Linked DNA regions of Caenorhabditis elegans. The protein of the gene in region 1 purifies or fractionates together with the protein of each later gene. This does not show direct contact. Each region holds a gene or a part of one and is shown in the gene's direction. Other genes may lie near its edges. The genes, in order: ZK795.3, fbxl-3 and hrg-11.4.

What was found.
Region 2: the proteins of ZK795.3 (region 1) and fbxl-3 fractionate together in Caenorhabditis elegans (co-fractionation; one large-scale study listed by BioGRID). This does not show direct contact.
Region 3: the proteins of ZK795.3 (region 1) and hrg-11.4 fractionate together in Caenorhabditis elegans (co-fractionation; one large-scale study listed by BioGRID). This does not show direct contact.

The regions. Positions count from the first base shown.
Region 1 is NC_003282.8:12,555,858-12,562,715, forward strand, and holds ZK795.3 (Brix domain-containing protein ZK795.3), read left to right. Parts: upstream 1-3,507; 5' UTR 3,508-3,508; coding exon 3,509-3,627; intron 3,628-3,682; coding exon 3,683-3,749; intron 3,750-3,794; coding exon 3,795-3,989; intron 3,990-4,062; coding exon 4,063-4,429; intron 4,430-4,589; coding exon 4,590-4,720; 3' UTR 4,721-4,815; downstream 4,816-6,858. Other genes in the region: ZK795.2 (DsbC domain-containing protein), read right to left, coding at 1,276-1,513, 1,563-1,671, 1,839-1,971, 2,130-2,186, 2,233-2,296, 2,378-2,511, 2,822-2,924, 3,029-3,069; snb-7 (V-SNARE coiled-coil homology domain-containing protein), read left to right, coding at 5,011-5,319.
Region 2 is NC_003280.10:5,395,932-5,402,789, reverse strand, and holds the start of fbxl-3 (Putative RNA-binding protein EEED8.10), read left to right. Parts: upstream 1-3,887; 5' UTR 3,888-3,907; coding exon 3,908-3,970; intron 3,971-4,118; coding exon 4,119-4,243; intron 4,244-4,299; coding exon 4,300-4,400; intron 4,401-4,452; coding exon 4,453-4,574; intron 4,575-4,627; coding exon 4,628-4,728; intron 4,729-4,785; coding exon 4,786-4,867; intron 4,868-4,915; coding exon 4,916-5,239; exon of another isoform or gene 5,240-5,304; coding exon 5,305-5,891; intron 5,892-5,941; coding exon 5,942-6,326; intron 6,327-6,368; coding exon 6,369-6,579; intron 6,580-6,633; coding exon 6,634-6,749; 3' UTR 6,750-6,858. Other genes in the region: putative pre-mRNA-splicing factor ATP-dependent RNA helicase mog-5, read right to left, coding at 1-551, 1,813-2,587, 2,639-2,896, 3,081-3,251.
Region 3 is NC_003284.9:422,970-429,827, reverse strand, and holds the start of hrg-11.4 (VWFA domain-containing protein), read left to right. Parts: upstream 1-4,192; 5' UTR 4,193-4,202; coding exon 4,203-4,299; intron 4,300-4,638; coding exon 4,639-4,828; intron 4,829-5,759; coding exon 5,760-6,002; intron 6,003-6,099; coding exon 6,100-6,351; intron 6,352-6,605; coding exon 6,606-6,685; intron 6,686-6,732; coding exon 6,733-6,858. Other genes in the region: Homeobox protein dve-1, read left to right, coding at 323-485, 536-835, 1,141-1,288, 1,829-2,007, 2,058-2,141.

The DNA.
Region 1 (6,858 bases):
ATTTTGGACGATTTTTTCCAAATCTGAAAAGAAAAAATTATTTATCACTTTTTTAGATGTTGTTGGGATCAAAAATCAAAGTAGAACTAAAATTTTTAAAAATTGCAACATATTTAGAAAATGTATACTTTTGAGAAGTTTGGCTCATGTTTACATTTTAGAAGCTCTGTAATTAATTTTTAATAAAAAACAACTGTAAAAACACTCAATTTAAATTGATTATTACACATTTGAAATGATTATTTTTTGACTAGCAATTTTTTAACAACTTCCTCAAAAAAGGGTTTATCAAAGAAATCGTCAACTGGCATAATATTTTACAGTTTTTCTCTTGTTTTTATTTTCTTTAAATGCATTTTTGTAGATCAAACATCATCATTGAGTAAAAAATATCATTGATTAAAAACATGTTGAGTACTGCATTTTTATAAAAACTCGGTGCTCAAAACTTGGAAAATAACTAAATTGGACGTAATGTGGGATATTTTAACGTTATGTTAAAAATTTTCCTATAAAAATTATTCAGCAGAAAATTTGCCCTTATATTTCGTCCCCATGACACTAATATGTTTCATTAAATTTTGGTGCCTTAATTTCATCAATACGTACCTTTTCAATCGGACATGATGAGTGGTAGGGATAGTAGCTAACCACAAAAATGTTAATTTCCGTTCGTAAATTAACAACTTTCAGCAAAAATTTAGCAATAGAAGAAATAGGTATCAGAAAAAAAAATAGGAGAACACCCACCAGGTATTCGAAAAGTAGAATGAATGGTTCTCTCCGCTAGTTGAATGCCATTTTATTCATTTTTTATTTGAATATTCCCATAAAAATCTCTGCGTCTCCAAATTCTTTCATACTATTTCTTTAATATATTTGCGTTTTGACAAGGGAACCGAGCCACGCGGCATATTCTACAGTAACCCATCAATGATGTCCCCGCTTTGCAAATCATTTATTAGAAGTTATATGGTGTCAGGCTGTCCCGTTGCTGTTTGATCTAACAAAAGAGCGGGAATTTGTTTCCCAGAAAAATGTGACGTAAGCTCTTCTCTTCTTATCCATGCAAAATTAGTTGAAAAGTCTGCGTCTCAACCCCCGCATTTTTCAAAGATCAAACCAAAAAGGGGTACTAGCTAATTGCGATCGCCGAAAATTCAAGCTCCTGGCTTCAAAGTCGTCTATAATTACAGTAGAAAAAACATGAACTTCAAAAAAAAAACATTTATTCGTTGCAAGTTTGCTTTTCTCTCCATTTCCACGTATCGACAGTTACTCCTTCTTGCTTCCACTACCTTTCTCCGATTTTTCCGATTTTTCCGATTTCTTCGATGAATCAATCAGCGGTTCCTTCTCACCGGCTTTCTGTGGTTTTTCCGATTTCTCAGACTTTACAGATTTTTCAGAAGCTTCCGGTTTTACAGCTTTCTCCGATTTTTCAGCGGTCTTCTGCTCATGCTTCTTTTGTTTCTCCTGTTCCAGCTCTTTTTGCTTCTTTGCCTCATTGTATCTGGAAGAGAAAACCAGGTTAAAAAAATCTTCCATTGTGCATCTCATACCTTGACAAACTTCCCATGAACATGATGACCAGTAAAGAGCACAAAGCGAGTCCCATAAGTGCAATTATGGCCTTCAAAATTCGTCGGTTCCGTTTTTCTTCGCGTTCGGCTGAAATATTTTTGCGTGAATATTTTTCCAGAAAAATTGTGACGTCAGCGGGCTCTTAACCATGCAAAACCAGATGAGATGCCTGCGTCTCAGCTCCCGCATTTTTTCGAAGATCAAATCGAAATAAGACATTATGACTCCATGGAGGGGGGGGGGAGTTACCGTACCTGTTTCTGGATATTCATCCGGAATCCGACTCAGCGGAGCCATAAACTTTGGTTCGAGGATTTTGATCAGTTGGTCCATGGATTTTACAGTTTTTGGTTTTGCAGAACCCGTCTCTGATGAGTTGAAGATTATCTGAAAAATTCGGTGATTTCGGCATATTCTTAAATTGCAAATTAAATTTTCCACGAGTTTTCAGTGTAAAAGGTTCTAAAACCTTGCACTAGAGGAGAACTACACTTTTTTTGGTAGAGCTCACTTGCATTTTGTGATTTTTCAAATAAAATTTTTACCTTTGCGGTGAAAGCCAAATCTTCATCAGTTTGGGACAAAGTTGGGTACTTTTCGATCTGAAATTCGAATTTAAAAAAGTGATCCGACATCTCGGCAACTCACATTCAAAACCCCAAAACTTTGACGTCCCCACTCAGGATCACACTTCAATTTTTGGCTGGTATGTCTGAAAAAAACCCCTTTTTATCAGAATATAAAAAAAGGTCCATGAGGCCAAGACAATTCTCCGAAGAAATTTCAAGCCTACTTTTTGATAACCAGAATGAAGTCGGCTCGCATCTTTGATCTATCGACACCTCCGATGAATTCGCAAATACTTCCGTTCTCATGAACGAATATTTGCGGAGATTTCACCTGATGCTTTGCAATGTACAAGGCAATCTGGAAAAACCAAACATTTAAAAATTCGTGACTTGCGCGTGAAATCTGATGCATAATGTGACCATGTACTCACGTAGGGCAAGGTTGTCCCATCACGGTTTGATCTACAAAAAAATGCGGAAATTTTTCGCCCAAAAAAAATGTGACGTCAGCACGTTCTTAACCATGCAAAATCAGTTGAGAACTCTGCGTCTCTTTTCCCGCATTTTTTGTAGATCTACGCAGATCAAGCCGAAAGGAGACACTCTGGCATCACGTATGTACCGCACACTTTCCGATGCACCATGTCTGACAAGATTTCAAATATTACCCCGTCAATTGTCTTTTGCCAGGCGACATCAGTGTCCTTCCCCATCACGACCATCTTAATTGCACCTGAACCGGAAAGTGAACCACTTTGAGAATGACATGGGCTGGAAATTAAACTTTTAAGAAATAGAACTAGAACTTGACAGAAAAGTCTGGAATTTCTCACGAAGAGATCTGAAACATTGGAATTTCCACTCTTCCAACTCACCTTATAGCCAAGAACAGTAAGAAACCAATGGATATGATCATTACTGAACAACGAATCGATTTGATTTCACAATGATTGATTTTTTGGATTAATTATTGCTTTCTTTAATTTCAAATGTTGAATATTTGCCAAATGGCAAACGGTCACGTTTTGTTTTATTTTTCGGAGTTTTATTTTTCAAGTACAAAACAATATCGATTAATTAATTTTTCTAGATTTTAATTAATTATTTTATTTATGATAAAATTCCATGAGTTTCAACGAAATACTTCTTGAACTTTTTCAGAAAAAAACTAAATTTAAAACTCGCGCGCATTTTCTTGCAGGTACACTTTTGCGTACATTACGTATGAGGCATTTCATCTGACGCACAATAGTTTTATTTATTTTTTCTTAGGCATTTTTATGGGAAATTTCGATGTTATATTCGATTTACATCTGATTTTAATTTTAAAAATTGAATTTTTGAAAAATTTCAGAATGATTCGCCGCGAGAATCGTCTTCGCCGCGAGTTTATCTTCCGAAAATCGTTGGAGGAGAAACAGAAAAGTTTGGAGGAAAAACGAGAGAAAATTCGCAATGCTTTGGAGAATAATACGTTAGTTTTTTTGCTTTTATATGTTGAAAAATTCGTAATATACGAATATTTTCAGAAAAATCGATTATAATCTGCGAAAAGACGCAATCGAATTGGCGAAAGGCTCCGATTGGGGAGGACAGGTAATTTTCGCGATTTTTGATGAAGTTTCAATAATTTTTGTTCAGCAATACGAAACAGACAGCGAGTATCGTTGGGCTGGAGCTCAAGATCCAAAAATTGTGATCACGACGTCCCGTGATCCATCAAGTCGGCTGAAAATGTTCGCCAAGGAGATGAAGCTCATCTTTCCAAACGCACAGAGAATCAATCGTGGTCATTATGATGTTAAGCAAGTTGTGCAAGCGTCCAAGGCTCAAGATGTTAGTGGAAAATTGAATATTTGAAATTTTATCAGCTTTTCAGTAATTTTCTAATATGAAATTAATTTTTCAGTCAACGGATCTGATTATCTTCACGGAGACACGTGGAAATCCAGATGGAATGCTTGTTTGTCATCTTCCATTCGGTCCAACTGCATTCTTTTCAATGGCAAATGTCGTAATGCGACACGATATTCCAAATTGTGGAACAATGTCCGAACAGTATCCACATTTGATTTTCGACAATTTAAATTCGAAATTGGGACATCGTTTCACCACAATCCTCAAACACTTGTTCCCGGTGCCAAAACCGGATTCAAAGCGAATCATCACATTTTCCAATTCAGAAGATTACATCAGTTTCAGACATCACGTCTATAAAACTGAAAATGACGGAGAAGTCGAACTGACTGAAGCTGGACCAAGATTTGAGCTCAAACGTAAGAAAATTTTGATAAAAGAGCGGAAATTGAAACAATTATGGGCATTTTCTATTTTATCGAAGCACAATTTTGCGCTGAAATTAAACACTAAGCGAGAAATATGAAATATTCACATTTCAAAGTATTTTGATTTTTTTTTTAATTTCCAAATTTTCAGCCTACCAAATCAAGCTGGGAACTCTCGAGACTCTGGCGGCTGCCGAAGACGAATGGGTGCTCAGATCCTACACAAATACTGCCCGTAAACGTACATTCCTCAGCATCTCCAGAGCTGATGACGACGAATGAAAATATTTTGTTCTCTAAAAATGTTTTGTTGATTTTTATTGTTTTCTCCTTGAAATTGTTTTTGTTTCGTTCATGAAATTAATTTTTATTCGAAAAAAGATTTTTAGAATTTTTGATTCAAAAATTACAGAACATTTAAAAATTGTCGAAATAATAACAACCATTGTTTAGCTCACGGCGGCAGGACATGGGGACGGGCGGCGGGAAAATATTATGAATTCAAAGATCAAAGCCTGTCAAGACAGTTTCAAATTTAAAACAGTTCTGGAATAACGGACACTAATTACTGCATGAATCATCAACCACCACCAGTGAGCCGTGTCGGTTGGGACGATCAAAAGATTATGAGAACAAGAAGAGAATTGGATTCGGTGAAGGCCATTATGAAGGAGAATGTGCAAAAAATCATGGAGAGACAGGGAAAACTTGATGATCTTGTTGAAAGAGCTCAGAGGCTCGAGGAGGCATCGGATGTGTACGTCAAATGCGCCGTCAAGATAAAACGAGAGATGAGCTGGAAGGCCAATTCTCTTCGCTACGGGATCATTGCTGTGTCAAGTGTCTCCGCATTTGCAGGACTTGCCTATTCGTTCCTATAAATCATTTCTCTATCAAAACTATTTATTGGCATTACGCTTTGTGTGTACAATAAATAATGGAATGTAGTGATCATTTAAAGGCACACAGGGGTCTTGCGGCGTTTAAATGACACAGGAGATACAAAAAACTGATGAAAGTGGAATTACAGGTGATGTAAAGGATCAAAGAAGACTGAGAAAGTGGCAATTGGGGATTAGAGGTTCCGGAGCCTATTCACCATCGGGCAGGGGAGCCGGATCACGAAAAGCTTTTGAATGCACCAATATTCACTCTTGTTTTTTTTAAATGAACCGGTCAACACATGTACGGCATCATGCACTGCTTTGTGAACCACTCCATTCTTATTGACTGGGGCTACTTTCAGAACAAATCCTCTCTCATTAACAGAAATGAGAGCAGCGGCTGGAATTTCGTCCGAAGCCGGGTTTCGTCTGGATCCGCGGTGTGCTTTCTGAAAATACGATGTATGACTGGGAATGACCGGCTTCAGCGATTTTCAAATAAAATTATATAATCAAGAATTAGAATATCGTTATGAGACTTCTCAAAAAATTTTATGGCGGTTCAAAATTTCGAAAAAAATTGATCTGATTTTTTAGTAACGAATTTCGTTATTTTGAGACTTGGCTCAAAATATCCCCAAACCGTTAGTCGTTCTTTGAATCTACGAAAAACATTTAGTGCAACTTTCATATCAGGTTTTTGAAGTTTGAAACGAAATCCTACTATGTAGTAGGGGAGAGATGGCGGCTTGTATGTGCATTTTCTGTAGAAAAAAAATGAACCGGTCAACACATGTACGGCACCATGCACTGCTTTGTGAACCACTCCATTCTTATATATACCGAAATTTTCAGATTTTCGATTTAAAAAATTTCATGAAATATTTCAATGTTTTGTTTTTGAAAGTTTAGAAATTGGGAAAAATGTAGAATTTACCAGATAATTTTGGATGTGCAATTTTGAAAAAATTGCAAAAATATTGAAAATTTTTTTTGAAATTTGAAAATTTACTTCCAAAAAAGTCGAAATTTCTTCAGAAAAAATCCGAAAGTCTTGTTATTTTCCCATTTTTTTTCGTGCAGTTCGGGAAAATGAGTAGAAACTTGAGAAAGAAACGAAGAAATCAGGAGAACGTGAAATACAATACTCTTCAAAGACACACTGTCTTGCACGAAAATGTTGCAATCGTGTCGAGACCTGCTGCTGTACTTTTGCGTCGGATTTGTAATATACCCTATACAAGTGCATAAGGAATCCCAATTCATTTCAGCAATCGTCGAAATTTCATTATTTCCATTATTATCCTGTTGACTGCATTGAGCTGAAACATCAATCAGCACTGCCAGCTCTTTTTCGCATAGCCCGCGACATCTCTGAAAATTTTTAATGATTTTGATGTCAGCTGTACAAAAACAAACCTCCACGACTCCCCATAAGAAACTCTGAACTGTATCATAATTCTCGAGAAGAGAATTTCGTTGAGCTCGATGAGCAAATGACTCGAATCCTGTGAGCTGTGCAAATTGATGTCTGGA
Region 2 (6,858 bases), on another chromosome or scaffold:
ACGTCTTCCAAGTCCAGCTTCAATTGCATATTGTGTCATCTGAGTAGTCTTTCCTGATCCAGTTTCTCCAACAACGACAAGAATTTGATTATCAATCATTGCTTCCATCAGATTCTTTTTCAACGCAAAGATCGGAAGACTTTCTCTCTGCTCAACCATACTCAAATTGGTTCTTCTTCCATAAGTCGCTTTTCCACCAGCTGTCACATGTTTCAACCATTCTGGCATTTCTTTCATTTTATTATTCCGATCCTTTGACTCATCAGCACTCCACGCAGTCGACTGATTTCCAGACATAGGATCAAGAATTCGAGCATTTGAACTGAATCCTTTCTGTGTATCCATATCACGCTCTCGTTGTGCTTGAATTTTCGTTTCTTTTCGTTCTTTTGAAAGAGCACCTTGCATTAAAGCTGCTTGAGCTAATGAACCATCCGGATTTTTGACAACTTTTACAGGTTCTATTTCTGCACCGCCTTTTCCATATCCACGTAAAAAGTCAGGTTCGTCTTCGACAAGCTCGATTTCAATATCCTCGCCATCACTTTCATCTGAAAATTGAAAAATTGTTGTGCTTTAAATGATAGAAACTTTATTTTAAATATTTAATGATTTTTTTTTAAATTTAGCTTTTTTAAAAATTGTCTTTGAATTATCGGGAAAATCATTTCCTTGTAATTTTTCGCATTTTCCTGCTAAATTCGAAATTTTTCCTTTGATATATGCAACTTTTGTCATATTTTGGCTTGTCTGTTGAAACTAAAAAATCGTCTTAAAAACGATAAATTAGTGTCGATTTTTGAGGAAAAATGTCTGCGTGCGCGAATTCAAAAACAATTTAGTCATTTTCAGGAAAAATTAATTTGTTTTAATTCAAAAAATTTTACAATTTTTCTTGATAAATTATTAAATCATAAATTTTATACCATCATTTTTTTCATGTTTTTTTTTCAATCTTGCTTAATTTTTAATTTTATTTGAATTCCCGGGAAAATTATTGCCGTAATTGTAAAGTATTCGCATTTTTCAGGCTAAATTCGATATTTATTCTCCGATGCATCTTTTGTCATACTTTGGCATTTTTCAGTAAAGAAAACCAAATTTAAATTTTGTTGAAAATAAAAAATCGGCTTAAAAACGATAAATTACTGTCAATTTTTAAGGAAAAATGTCTGTAAAACATCATTTTTAGTCATTTTCAAGAGAAATTGAAATTGTTTTCAATTAAAAAAATTTTGCAGTTTTTTTTTTAAATATAAATTATTTTTAAAAAATCATATACCGTATTTCCTCTATTAGTCTTGCATGCAAGACTAATTTTCGATTGACCCGTAGGGGTGCAAGACTAATAGAGACTGCAAGACTATTAGAGGCTGCAAGACTAATTTTCGAAGACCCGATAGATTTGTTCAATTGGCCATTTATCGTCACAAATTTGACTTGAAACAGTCTAAATCATGCAAAATACATACTTTTCTATTGTTTTATCAATTATTTTAACACTTTAAAATTTAATTTAGCTATAAAATGGCGAAATTGTTGAAGTTTTCACAAAATACTGCTGGTCTGGCAAGAATAGGGGTGCAAGACTAATACCGTATGTTCTCTATTAGTCTTGCATGCAATACTAATAGAGGCTGCAAGACTAATTTTAGATTGACCCGTAGGGGTGCAAGACTAATAGAGGAAATACGGTAAGCAAAATAAAGCACCATTTGCGCGGAATTCAAAAATAATTTAGTGATTTTCAAGAGAAAATAATTTTTTTTTCAAATTTATCATTAATTACTAGATCATAAATAAAATACTCACCATCATAATTTCTTAGAACTCCCATTTCTTCATCAAAATCAGGCATATCTGTGGCTGTGAGAACTCCGGCTCCTTGCATTTGTCTTAATTCCCACCGTTCAGGTGTCGAAATTCGAACTCTCGCCTTTCCACCACCAATTGAGGTCGAAGGACCTTGTCCTACTCCACTTGCTTCAGGATTCATCCACGAGGAAGTTGATGCTGGCGGTGTCCGTGGACGAACTCCGATTGCATCCGGATTCAGGTCGGTCTCGCGTGGATTCAAATCTTCTCCACTATTCTGATCGACTTCTTTCATTGACAACGAGATTTTTCCATTTTCAATCTTATTAACTTTAACTTTGACATTTTCTCCTCTTTTCAAAACATCTGCGACGGTTTGAACTCGTTCATTTCGAATTTGGGAGATGTGAACAAGTCCTTCTTGTTTTTGACGGAAACCTTCCAGTGTGATGAAAGCTCCGAACGATTGAATACTGTTTACACGACCATCGTAGATTTTTCCGATTTCTGCAACTTCGGATTTTCTAGCACCACCATCATCTCGTCGATCACGCCGATCTCTTTGTCTGTCGTCTCCTCTTCGATCCCCACGTCCTCTGTCTCTGTCTCTGTCCCGATCCCTCCTATCTCGATCTCTTCTGTCTTCACGACTCCTACTACGTCTCCGACGATCCCTGTCACCACTACGACTTCTTCTTCGTTTTCGATCACGACTCCTTGATCGACTTCTTGAACGGTTTCGTTTTGAATCTGATTCCTTTTGAAGACGTTTCTGTAAATGGAAAATTTATTTTAACAAATTTCAAATATCAAAGATACGTACCTCACTTTCATATCGGCCTTCCATCTTTTCTAACTGAGCCATAAGATCATCTTCATTATCTTCCTTTTCTTTCGCAGTATTTGCCATCGCTAGAGCTGGAAGTCGTGCTTTAATTTCTTCTTTTGCATCAGAAATCAATGTAATTTTGTGTGAATCCTTGATATCTTCTTTTGAATCACCACCTTTCTTGTTTTTCTTTTTAACAGCAGTCATGCTTTGTACTATACGAAGTATGGTCGCAGTGAGGGAATCATCAAACTGAAATTTAGAATTAAAGAGAGGAATATCGAGACTTTTATATTTATGAGACGAATAATGTTTTTTTTAAATCTCGATATTTGATATTCATCAAAATATTTTAAAACACCTTGAATTAAAATAATTTTGAAATTTCCTTTAAAAAAATAATTTAGTCGTTAAATTTTCTCATATTTCAACATACCTGATCCCCAAGTCCCTGACTATCCAAAGCCTTTTTCAGTTTATCAAATGTTGGATTCTCTTGAGCCAAATGAATAACAAACTCAGCGACATCTTTTTCGACGACACCAAAATGGTTCTCAACTTCACTGAGGACCTTGCTCACAAGTGAGAGGTGCTCAAGCTGGTCCATCCTGAAATTTACAGATAAAAAATTTAATAAAATAATTCTTTAAAGCAGTTTTAATTCCGAAAAACTCGAACAATAGAAAATTAGAGTAAAAAAACAAATTCGAAATCTAAAATAGTGGGCGTGGTCTTTCATGCAAACTGCGGCCCGCTTTTTCGCAATTGTGCCGCACAGTGTGCAGCTTTCTTTAATTATATTTTTTCAACAATTATTTTTTATTTTATTGAAGCTGCCGGCTTTCATTTCGTTTGTAAATATGTTTCATTGTGTTTTTTTGAATTTATTTTAGTATTTCCAAAAATGGATATATAAGTTTGTGTTAATGTAAAATCGTTATTGCAAATACCCTTTGCCTTCAAAGTTAACAAAAAACAAGGTCTTTTAAAGCATGATTTTAAATTTAAAAGCTGTTCAAAAACTGCAAATTTTCTAGATTTTCTTTGAATTGGTGCTTTTGAACGTTTCATAGTGACCAATGTGTCCCCAAGCATCCGAATGTCCCGTTTTCTGCGTCTCTTCACTTCCGTATAATCTCTAACCCGACTCACTGGTAAACATGCGCCATTCCTCCTCCGAACAACGACTAGTGAAAATCGATCAAAATTGTTTTCAAATTTATTATTAATGTTTCAATTTCAGAAAACAGTTAAACCTAAAAAATGGATTTCAATCGAAGCTTCACATCGAACCTCGGGAGCGCTGGAAGTGCTAAATCACAACAGGTTAGAGAACACAATTCGATTTTTTGTCTACCAAATAAATGTTAATGTGATAAGAAAACACTAGGGAACAGTAGCCAAATCAAATCATATGGTTCTGTTATCTTTTCTCTCGAAAAAACGTTTTTTTCACACATTTTCAATTTTTCAGAGTATGTTCAAAGCACTCCGCCGGCTTCATGGACAGAACTTGGAGAGCCGAGGGCTTCATGATATGACTGAAGCATTTCAGTCATTTGTCACAAGGGCACGGTTTTTCAGTATTGGAAAATTGAGGTAATATCAACATTTTAGCTCTGGTTTTTTCTAAATTAAAATTAAAATATTTTCAGGCGAACTTGGTCCCACTCTGCCGCAGAGTTTATGAAATATCGACGACTTTTACCAATGTTACTCGCCGATGGAGATGCATTTGATGGAGGAGAAACAGACGGTAATAAATCTTAAAATTTGGAAAAAAAATCAATAATTGTTTTTTTTTTCAGATTTCGATGCATCTATCGCTTTCCAACATACTTCTCGTGATGATCGAAAAATCGTGGTTTCGAATATTTCTGCTAAAGTCACCCAATCACAGCTTCAATCCTTCTTTTCTCAATATGGAAAAGTGTGTTGTTTTAATTATCATTTAAATATAAAATTTTAAAATTAAATTTCCAGATAACCAGCTGCATTCTGCCTCGCGAAGAGAAAAAGACATCAGTGTTCGGAACACTTCCAAAGCATTCCAGAAATTGTGGAACTGCTACTATTACTTTTAAGTATAATTTAAATTTTTTTGGTTTGTTCAGGTCTTTTTAATAATACAATTTTTGCAGAAAGTCTGAGCATGCTGATCGCGCGAAAAATGCGAATCCTGAAGAGTTGAAGTTTTATGATCAAGTTATGGTTGTCTCAGCTGTAAGTTTTTGATTTGGGATTTAATTTTTAAACCAATTTATCTTGTAGTATGTATCGAAAAAACGTGGAGGTAAAGGTCTCGTGCTCAGTGATGATGTTGGAAGTCGTGAAGATACTCCATTGTCCCGTGCTTCATCTACACAGTCGTTAGCTTCAGGATCCGAGCAATCATTCAATTTGGGAAACGTCCCGGATAAAATTCTTAGAAGGGTCATCTCATTTTTACCAATTCACGAAACAATTCGATTGGAACGAGTTAATAAAAAGTTCATGGAAGAATCAATTAAATCCTGGGAACTTGTCAATAAAATTGCATTGGCAAGAGAAACTGTATTCAACAAGCAACGACCAATGAGAACAAGTCATCTTAAAATGAGTTTGAGCTGAAATTTAAAAAAATTAGTTTTAAAAAGTTAATAAAAAATAAAAAATTTCAGGCGATTCTTACTCGTGCTGGTGCACACTTGAGGTCACTTGATGTTTCTGGAATTGTGCATCTTCTTGATGATCGCCGAGCACTTAAAGTCATCGCAACATGCTGTCCGAATTTAGTTGATCTTGATATTAGTGGAACTCATGCTCAGGCTGAAGCTCTCGAAGAACTTGGAGAATCACTTTCACATTTAGAACAGCTATCTTATAGAGGAATGGAAACAACTGGAGACAAGGCATTCTACTTTTTACTTAAAAACTGTGGTCATTCACTTAAATTTGTGGATTTACGAAATTCAAAACGGCTCCACGGACGATCATTCAAATTATTCGGGTCACAACTGGAAAGTTTATATTTGGATGGATCATCAAAAGTAGATGAGATGGCTTTTGAAGATTTATGCACCAGTTGTGGAGGTCTCAAAGAATTACGGATCAATGAATGCTATAAAATCACAGATGAGAATCTGAGTATGATCGCTAGAAGAATGGAAGATCTTTCAATCTTAACATTATGTGGGGATGGATTCAAAAGTTTAACGTCAGCCGGATTGATTCATATTAGTCACATGAGAAATATTACAGAATTGGCGTAAGTTCCATCTGAACCTATGATTAAAATTATATTTATCAATGTTTCAGCCTTGACTACAACGCTCTTGTTAATGATGAGCTTCTTATCTCAATATCAGCTGGTCTACCGCTTCTTTCATCACTCAGTCTTGCTAACGCTGGAAACGATTCGTCGATCACTGCAGAAGGAGTTTCAGCGATTAAAAATCTAAAAGAACTGACTCAGCTTGATGCATCGTCGCTGGCAGCTGTCAATTCAAAAGTTTTAGAGCAACTGGGCTCACTGAAAAAGTTGGAAATTATTCAACTGAGAAATTGCACATATCTTGGTGATGATGGTGTGCGTGCGAAGCTTAGAATGCCAAATATCCGCCACGTGGATCTAAGTGGTTCAATTTTAGTATCAAATGACTCGATTCAACAGTTTATCAAAGCATTCCCATCAGGACCAAAGGTTCGTTAGGAGGAAATGGATAAAATTAAAAATAAAATTTAGCTTCCACCAATCACCCTCGTTGTCGGTGGAACTGCCGCTGATGCTTCAAAGTTGTCAGTTCGAGGATCAAGAGTAGTCGTCGACTTTTCCGATTATTCCACGATTGTCACGATGCAGACAAGCCAATGTTCGTCATCCAAGTTTGCCATTGGAGGATCAGCGTCAGACGCTGAAGGCTCGGATGATGAATTTGAAGCATTGACCGCACAAAGTATGTTTTAAGATTAATTTAGTTCTTTAAAAACTATTATTCAAAAATTTTCAGGAAGTTTCTACATTGATGCTGTCTGTGGAGAAGAAGAATCACCAATTACAGACGATGGAAAATTGGCGGAATGGGCTGAAAAAGAAGCAAGAAGCCTCGGGCTTATTAAGGATTAAAGCTTCAGAATTTTATCGAACGAAGGAAACAATTTCATCCGTTTTATTGCAATTATAGGTTCTTATTTATTGATAATAACATTTTTTGTCATTTTCAGCATTTTTCTTG
Region 3 (6,858 bases), on another chromosome or scaffold:
TATTTGTATTGTACCACATTGTTCAACTTTAACTGTTTATATCTCAGTTATCGTTTGTGCTATTCGAAGTTGTTAACTAACAAAATATTTTTTCAGTTATTTTTCTATAGATTCGTAGTTAAAAATATATGTATATCTTTAAAGTGTATTTATACTCTTTAAAATGAATTAAGATATAACGTTTCAAAGTTAGGTAGTCGGGTGCAATACAAATAGAAGAAATACGCTACATGATTTTCTTTTCATTCCACTCTCAAGAAAGATAAACGCCTGCTTTCATATTACTTTCAGTACACATAATAATGTATGTATTTAATTTCAGCCCAACACAAGTACAAAGATTCAACACTCTTTACGAAATTCCACGTCTTGATAAATGGTTCAAATCCGATGCAAATCCATCTAAACAAAAAATGAACAATTACTTAAGCCAGCTCAATCAGAGTCCGTTCAGAAAGAACAATTCCAAGATCAGCTATCAACAGGTGAATTTAATGCGCCTACATATTACTCCATTAATCAAATGAATTTCCAGATTTGCAATTGGTTCACACAAAAACGCTCGAGTTCCCGTACCTTAGCTCCAGTAGACCTAGTGCAGGTCTCGTCAGCTCAGACAGCGGCGCAGCTGCTCCCGGGATTCCAACTCAACTTGCTCCAGTCCCTGTTTGGAGAACAACGTCAAAAATTTGATTTTTACGACAAACTGGATGAAACCAAGATTGTCGGCGGCTCCGACTCGCCATCTCCAGCCGATGATGAGATTCATAGCAATTCAGATGAAACTATTCAAGATACTTTGTTTTCCATCAATATTAAACCAGAACCGGAAATTGTAAGTTACGTTTGACTGTTTGTGCCATAGTTAGGTTGATTAGCGTTGCTCGTGCTGAAAAGCTTTGAAAAATCACGCTAAAAACGGATTTTCGGCTATTTCGATTCTGATTCACATTAAAGATAACATCTCCCAAATTGCTAAATATTACCGATAAGGTTATAAAGACCTAACACTACGGCCGAAAATCTGAATTTATTCCAAACTGTCAGCGTCGGCTGAGCGCCAATTAAAAATATTTTTCGACACAATTATGGTCCACCTTTAAAAATTATTCATCCCAAAACAAGCAACATTTCCTACAGGATTCAATTGCATCCTCCCCGGATATGGCAAACTCAATGCGCGAATCATTGTCCTCGACCTCCCCAAAGCTTCTCAGCGGGCTCGACCTCGGAGCATTCAGCACCCACTCATCATCCACCAACTCCATGCAAAACGCCAACTCATCAGGTACAACAAAGAGCTTTAAAACAGACAGGCTAACGGAAAAGAGAGGGAGATGGGTTGAACCAAGAACTCATAAATTAGAAGCGAGCACACACACACAAACACACATAGACATACACAAAGTGCGCGAAGACACATAACAAAGGGAGAAATGTGGGGCGTCGAATTTCGCACAGACAACCATTACGATCACTGAGATCTGAGGAAAAAAAAATGAGGCTAGGTATTGTGTTTACAGAAATAAAACAGAAAATCAACTGCAAACTTGATTTTGAGAAATATTCTAGGGATTTTGTACTGGCTCAAACTTATCGAGAAGGTGGCCATGTTCATGATACTCAGTCTGAAAACCTATATTGGTTGCTATCTCTAAAACGCTCTTAGATTGCGTTTGCTATGCATATGAAAAATGACTGCATAAAAATTCTCTATCTTTTCGACAAGAAAACTTTAAGGTGGAATTTTACTTCTATTTTTCGATAAAATCACTGACGCGGAACGTTTGAAAAAATTCAACGATAAAGCAAATAATCTCCGTTTTAGTGTTTTCAGCGGCTCGCTCACGCCTGATGTTCGACCCACTCACCGAGCTACCCGTCCTCGAAAAATGGTTCGAAGAGAATCCTCACCCGACATGGATGCAAATCGATCAGTACACACAATGCTTGAACAACTGCGCTTATCGAGAGAATTATCCGCATATTAGTCAGCACAATGTGAAGGTAATATTCTATATTAATACTGATTACTAGTTATCGAATTCGAATTGCAGATCTGGTTCAAAAATCGACGTGCAAAATGCAAGCGATTGTTGAATGGAATGCAGGAAAAGCTTGAGCAGAAGGTTTTCGTATAAAATTAAAATTTCCAACTTTTTTCAAAATCTTATTATCTTTAATTTCGAAAGAACATTAAGTTTTTCACATCAATAGTTCCTTCTTTAACCGTCATACTGGTGTACCCCTTGAATTCCTGATCTTCAGTGCCCCACAATTTCTCTTCAACGAAGAGCAAAATCACTACTTCATTTTTCATTCCAGCTGTGATTTTTGTCTGTAAGCTACACCTAATCGCTAGCTGTATATCTCGACGCATCTTTCGTTCTGCAAAACTTCTAGTCGCTTCTTGTCTTGTTTAACCTTGATGGGAAATTAAGCCGGCTTTAATTTCCTTCTTTCTTTCAATCAACAATTTCCCATCGCTTTCTTTGTCTCTTTCAATGTTCCACAGATCACATAGTTTTAATGGTTTTTCAATGTTTCCCTTCTTACCGTCACACTACTTTCCAATATTATTCATCTTAATTTTATGTCTACCACTTCCAATATCAATCTTGCCCACCGTTTTCTCAATTTTTTTTGTCAAATTTAAACTTTTCTCTGCTTTTCAGTTGTGCTTCAGCCCTTTATATGCCAAAAACTTTTATTCAGAATTTTGACATACAACCACGTTTATTTCTTTTTATTTGAATGTTTTGAGAAATAAAGTTTTTTTTTTCAGAAAAAAAATTTTACAAAAAATGGTCAATTTTTTATTTAAAAAATTGGCACACAAAAATAAAAACAGACATGATTGTAGGAGAAAATTTTCAGACTTTTCAAGAAATTATAACTTTTAAAAAGCTATTTTTGGAGAAAAAAGCTCCCTATTTTAACAATAAAGTTTTGAGCCATTTCACGCGTGCACCAAAAAAAATGTCTGAGAAAAATGTCAGGGGTACGAGTTGAGTTTTCCTTTTCAAATTTTTTGTAAAAAAATATTCAGAACACTATCTAGAGCGACAAAAAACTTGGTTGGTGAAAACTCGTTCTAAAATCTGGCACTGAAGTTACTTCCTTCCGCTAACAACTTGTCAGGTGCAATCTAAGTTTCGACTAAAAAAAACAATTATTATTTCAAAGCTGGATAATTTATTCGAATTTTCGAAATATTGCAGAACTGAAAAGAAAAGAAGTTTTCCATAAACTTGGATTGTCAGTCAAATCTTGCAAGGACGTACACGTTGTAGGTTTGCCTTGGAAGAGGTCGTCCACTTCAACATGCAGTCCAGTTATACTCACTAGGAAAGTAATTTAACTCACTTTCAGACTTTCAAATTGAATTTATAAGAACTTAAAGCGGGTTTTCATCAAAAAATAACAATGGAATATAAAGAAGTCGATTTGATATTCTCCGAGCACGTTTTCACTGCTTTTGTAACGTTTGCAACTATTACAAATGAGGAAGTTTGCAATTTTGTAATGCTTTTAATAAAGTCTAAAAATAGGCAAAACAATTTAATAAATTTTTTTTTTTAAATATTTCAGAATTTTTGTTCAGCCTAAAACGTCTTAACAATTGCCTCAAAATCTTTTTAAAGCAGTTTTATTTATACTTTTGCGGAAACTTTGCAATAATCCTATAAATAGCATAAATAAACATTTTTTAAAGTGAAAACAAAGTTTCATTGGTGGTTTAAAAAATTTATAAAGCTTTATAGAACGTTGCCAGTGTAATACAACTGTTAAAACATAACTCACTTGAATAAATCACATGAAAAATTGTTTGATTAATAAAAAAACTTGTAAGTAACAAAAAACCTGCAAGTTCTCGACTGTAAAAACAACAGCTGGAAGCAAAGTGGAACGCTTAACCATTTTTATTTCTGTTTCCCACTGTCTTTTCCAGAAGTTCCTGAAATGTAAACATTTTAAACTGAATTTTCACAACACATCAACCTCTGCTCTATTCGAATTCTAGATGAGAACAACTTGCCAATGGAAGAGTATAATCGCATTATCAGTGACAACTAATTTAAGAGCCTCAATTGGATAAACTAACTTTTTCAAACAAAAAAAACCTGATAACAATTTTATTTAGTTTTATTTAATTATTACATTAAGAAATATCTTCTAAATAAAGACGATTTTTCAGTAAAATGCTCAAATTTGTAATTACAAGTATTCTACTACTGCGGGTCTGTAGTGGAGTAAGTATTCCCAATAAAAGTCAACACGGCGAACTAACGAAAAGCTGTAAGTTTAAGTAAAAAACACGTAAAATTGAAAATATTGGCAAAAGTTTGACATATTGAAAAAACACAGCAGGCTTACTTAAAAATGTTTACATCATAAGTTCTGGTCCGAGTCACAACTACACGAAAGGTATTGAGCTCACTTTTGTGCTTCTAGCGGGAATTTTTATTTGATGAATTAAATAACCAACTAAGAACAATTTTTTCAAGAGTGAATTTGGTGGAAACGCCAGTGGATTCTCTTTCTGGCTAGGCCAAGCCAACACATTTAATAGAACCTCTTCAAATCTTTACAGAAAACGTTTTTTGACCAGTTTTAGCCAGAGGGATTAAATTTCAGTGAATTCGAAACTCAAACAACTTGTTGCACTAAATCTATCGGAACCTTCTCAACGGGTTCAACCTACCTTCTCTTCAAGACCGAAACTGTTGGATCAAACCTCTCCAGTGACATGCTACAATAAGTCAATTGATATACTGCCTCATGACGGTACTGCAAAATTTGGTGATTTAGTGGAGAGTGATTTCAGGTATACATTTTTAGTAGGGAATATTGTAGAAAATCGTGGAGTGCTCGGAGATTGCTAACCAGCAGTTCTAAAAATTGAGCCTGTGGGACATTTTCACTCAGTGTTTTCATTAAAATTTAGGAATAGAATCTGGAAAATGTTAATTCTAGTTAAAGGTGGAGTGGCGCCAGTGGGGAAATTTCTTTAAAACACGCCTATGGTACCAAAATGACCGAATATCATGATAAAAAAATGCAAAAATTTTTTCTAATTTTAAAATTTGAAAATTGAAAAAATCTCAGTTTTTGCCTAATTCCGATTTGAGTTTACGCCAATTGGATTTGTTCGATGGAGCGCACTTGCACGTTTTAATTTTAATTTATTGTTATTTTGTCATATTTTTCACCAATTTTCCATGTTTTCAATGTAGTTTTGTCTGAAATTTGACGAAAAAGTCAAAATAAATGCTAATTTTTGATTAAAAAGCTAATTCACAAGCGTGAGTCTGTGAAATCTGTAAATTCAAGTTCGAAATCGTTTAAATGCATGCATTTTCTTTCAAAATAACAATAAATTAAAATTAAAACGTGCAAGTGCGCTCCATCGAACAACTTCAATAGGCGGAAATTCAAATCGGAATTAGGCAAAAACTGAGATTTTTTTCAATTTTCAAAAAATCATATAAAATTTAGAAATTTTTTTTGAATTTTTTAATCATGATATTCGGTTATTTTGGTACCATAGGCGTGTTTTAAAGTACTCGAAAAAAAATACTCGAAAATTGTCAAAAACGTGAAACTTGTTGTTGATAGTAAAATTGCCATTTTTCATTTTTCCGGTTTCTATTTGCGATTTAATAATAATCTAAAACTCTATCTGGATTTTCATTACGTTATTCGAGAACCAATACCAGATTAATAACATGTTTCATAATACATACACATATCTTCAGTGCGACTTGCTCCGACACTTTCACTTTTTACGTCGACAATTTTATCGAAGAGTTCTTTGTAATTATCAATACACTCGACGCCCTCAATCCGCGGGCAACAGTTTATAATCCGATTGGAGGCGAAGTGTCCACATGCAAAGATATCACCACGGACGTCACTCAAACAATTCACCTTATCTGCAACGGAAAGAATGTTCACGGAACTGGAGCGTATACGGTTCAGCTCTCTGCAGATTTGAACAAGTGAGCACACAATTAAAACAAGATGACCCAAATTGTGAAAAAAAAATCAAAAAAAGACTCTTGAAATCTTATCTCATTTAAAAATAAAATCATTCAGACCGTGTATATTTGAAGTCCGAGCTCCAACAAAGCTGACAGTTGATGGTGGGTTTGTAGAGGATGTTCGTGACGATGACGTTCAGAAAGTAATATTTTCCACTGCAAATCAAGGAATATTCCGTTTCCCACTTGAAAATCAGGCAGCATTTTTAGCATTTAAAGTCGAGAGTGAAGAATTTCCAATTCATCCCGATGAGGTGCATCTTTATGTAAACGGCCTATTCGATCAGAAAATGGATTTGAACTTGAGGTGAATGTTTGAGAGTGATAAAAATTTGGAATTGAGTAATTTTTTTCTACATTATTCAATAGAATCAATTTTTCTACATTATTCAATTTTGGATGATCCAAAAAAATTGAAGGAAAGTAAACTTTTTTCTGTTGAAAAAAATACATGTTTATATTGCAGAAGCATTTTTTAATTCAAAAATAAAGCCTGAACATTTAGATTTAACAAAGATGAATCATGAACATAATTGCTTTGGCAGAAAAACCATTTTTCAGATACGGCTGCAGTACCCCTCATATCACTCAACAATCTTATAACTGTACGTCTCAAAACTTGTATCATGCCAAGTTCAGAGGTATTTCTCCTTTCTATTTTCTCCCTTCTCTCATTGTCGGTTTCTAGGATACGATAGTGATGGAAACAGGTTCCAGAGAATCTACGACTTTAGCTGTGACCTAAGTGAAATTACATTCACAACACCTTCCGTGCACGTTTCGACGACGCCAGCAAGGTTTTGTGAAAATGGAG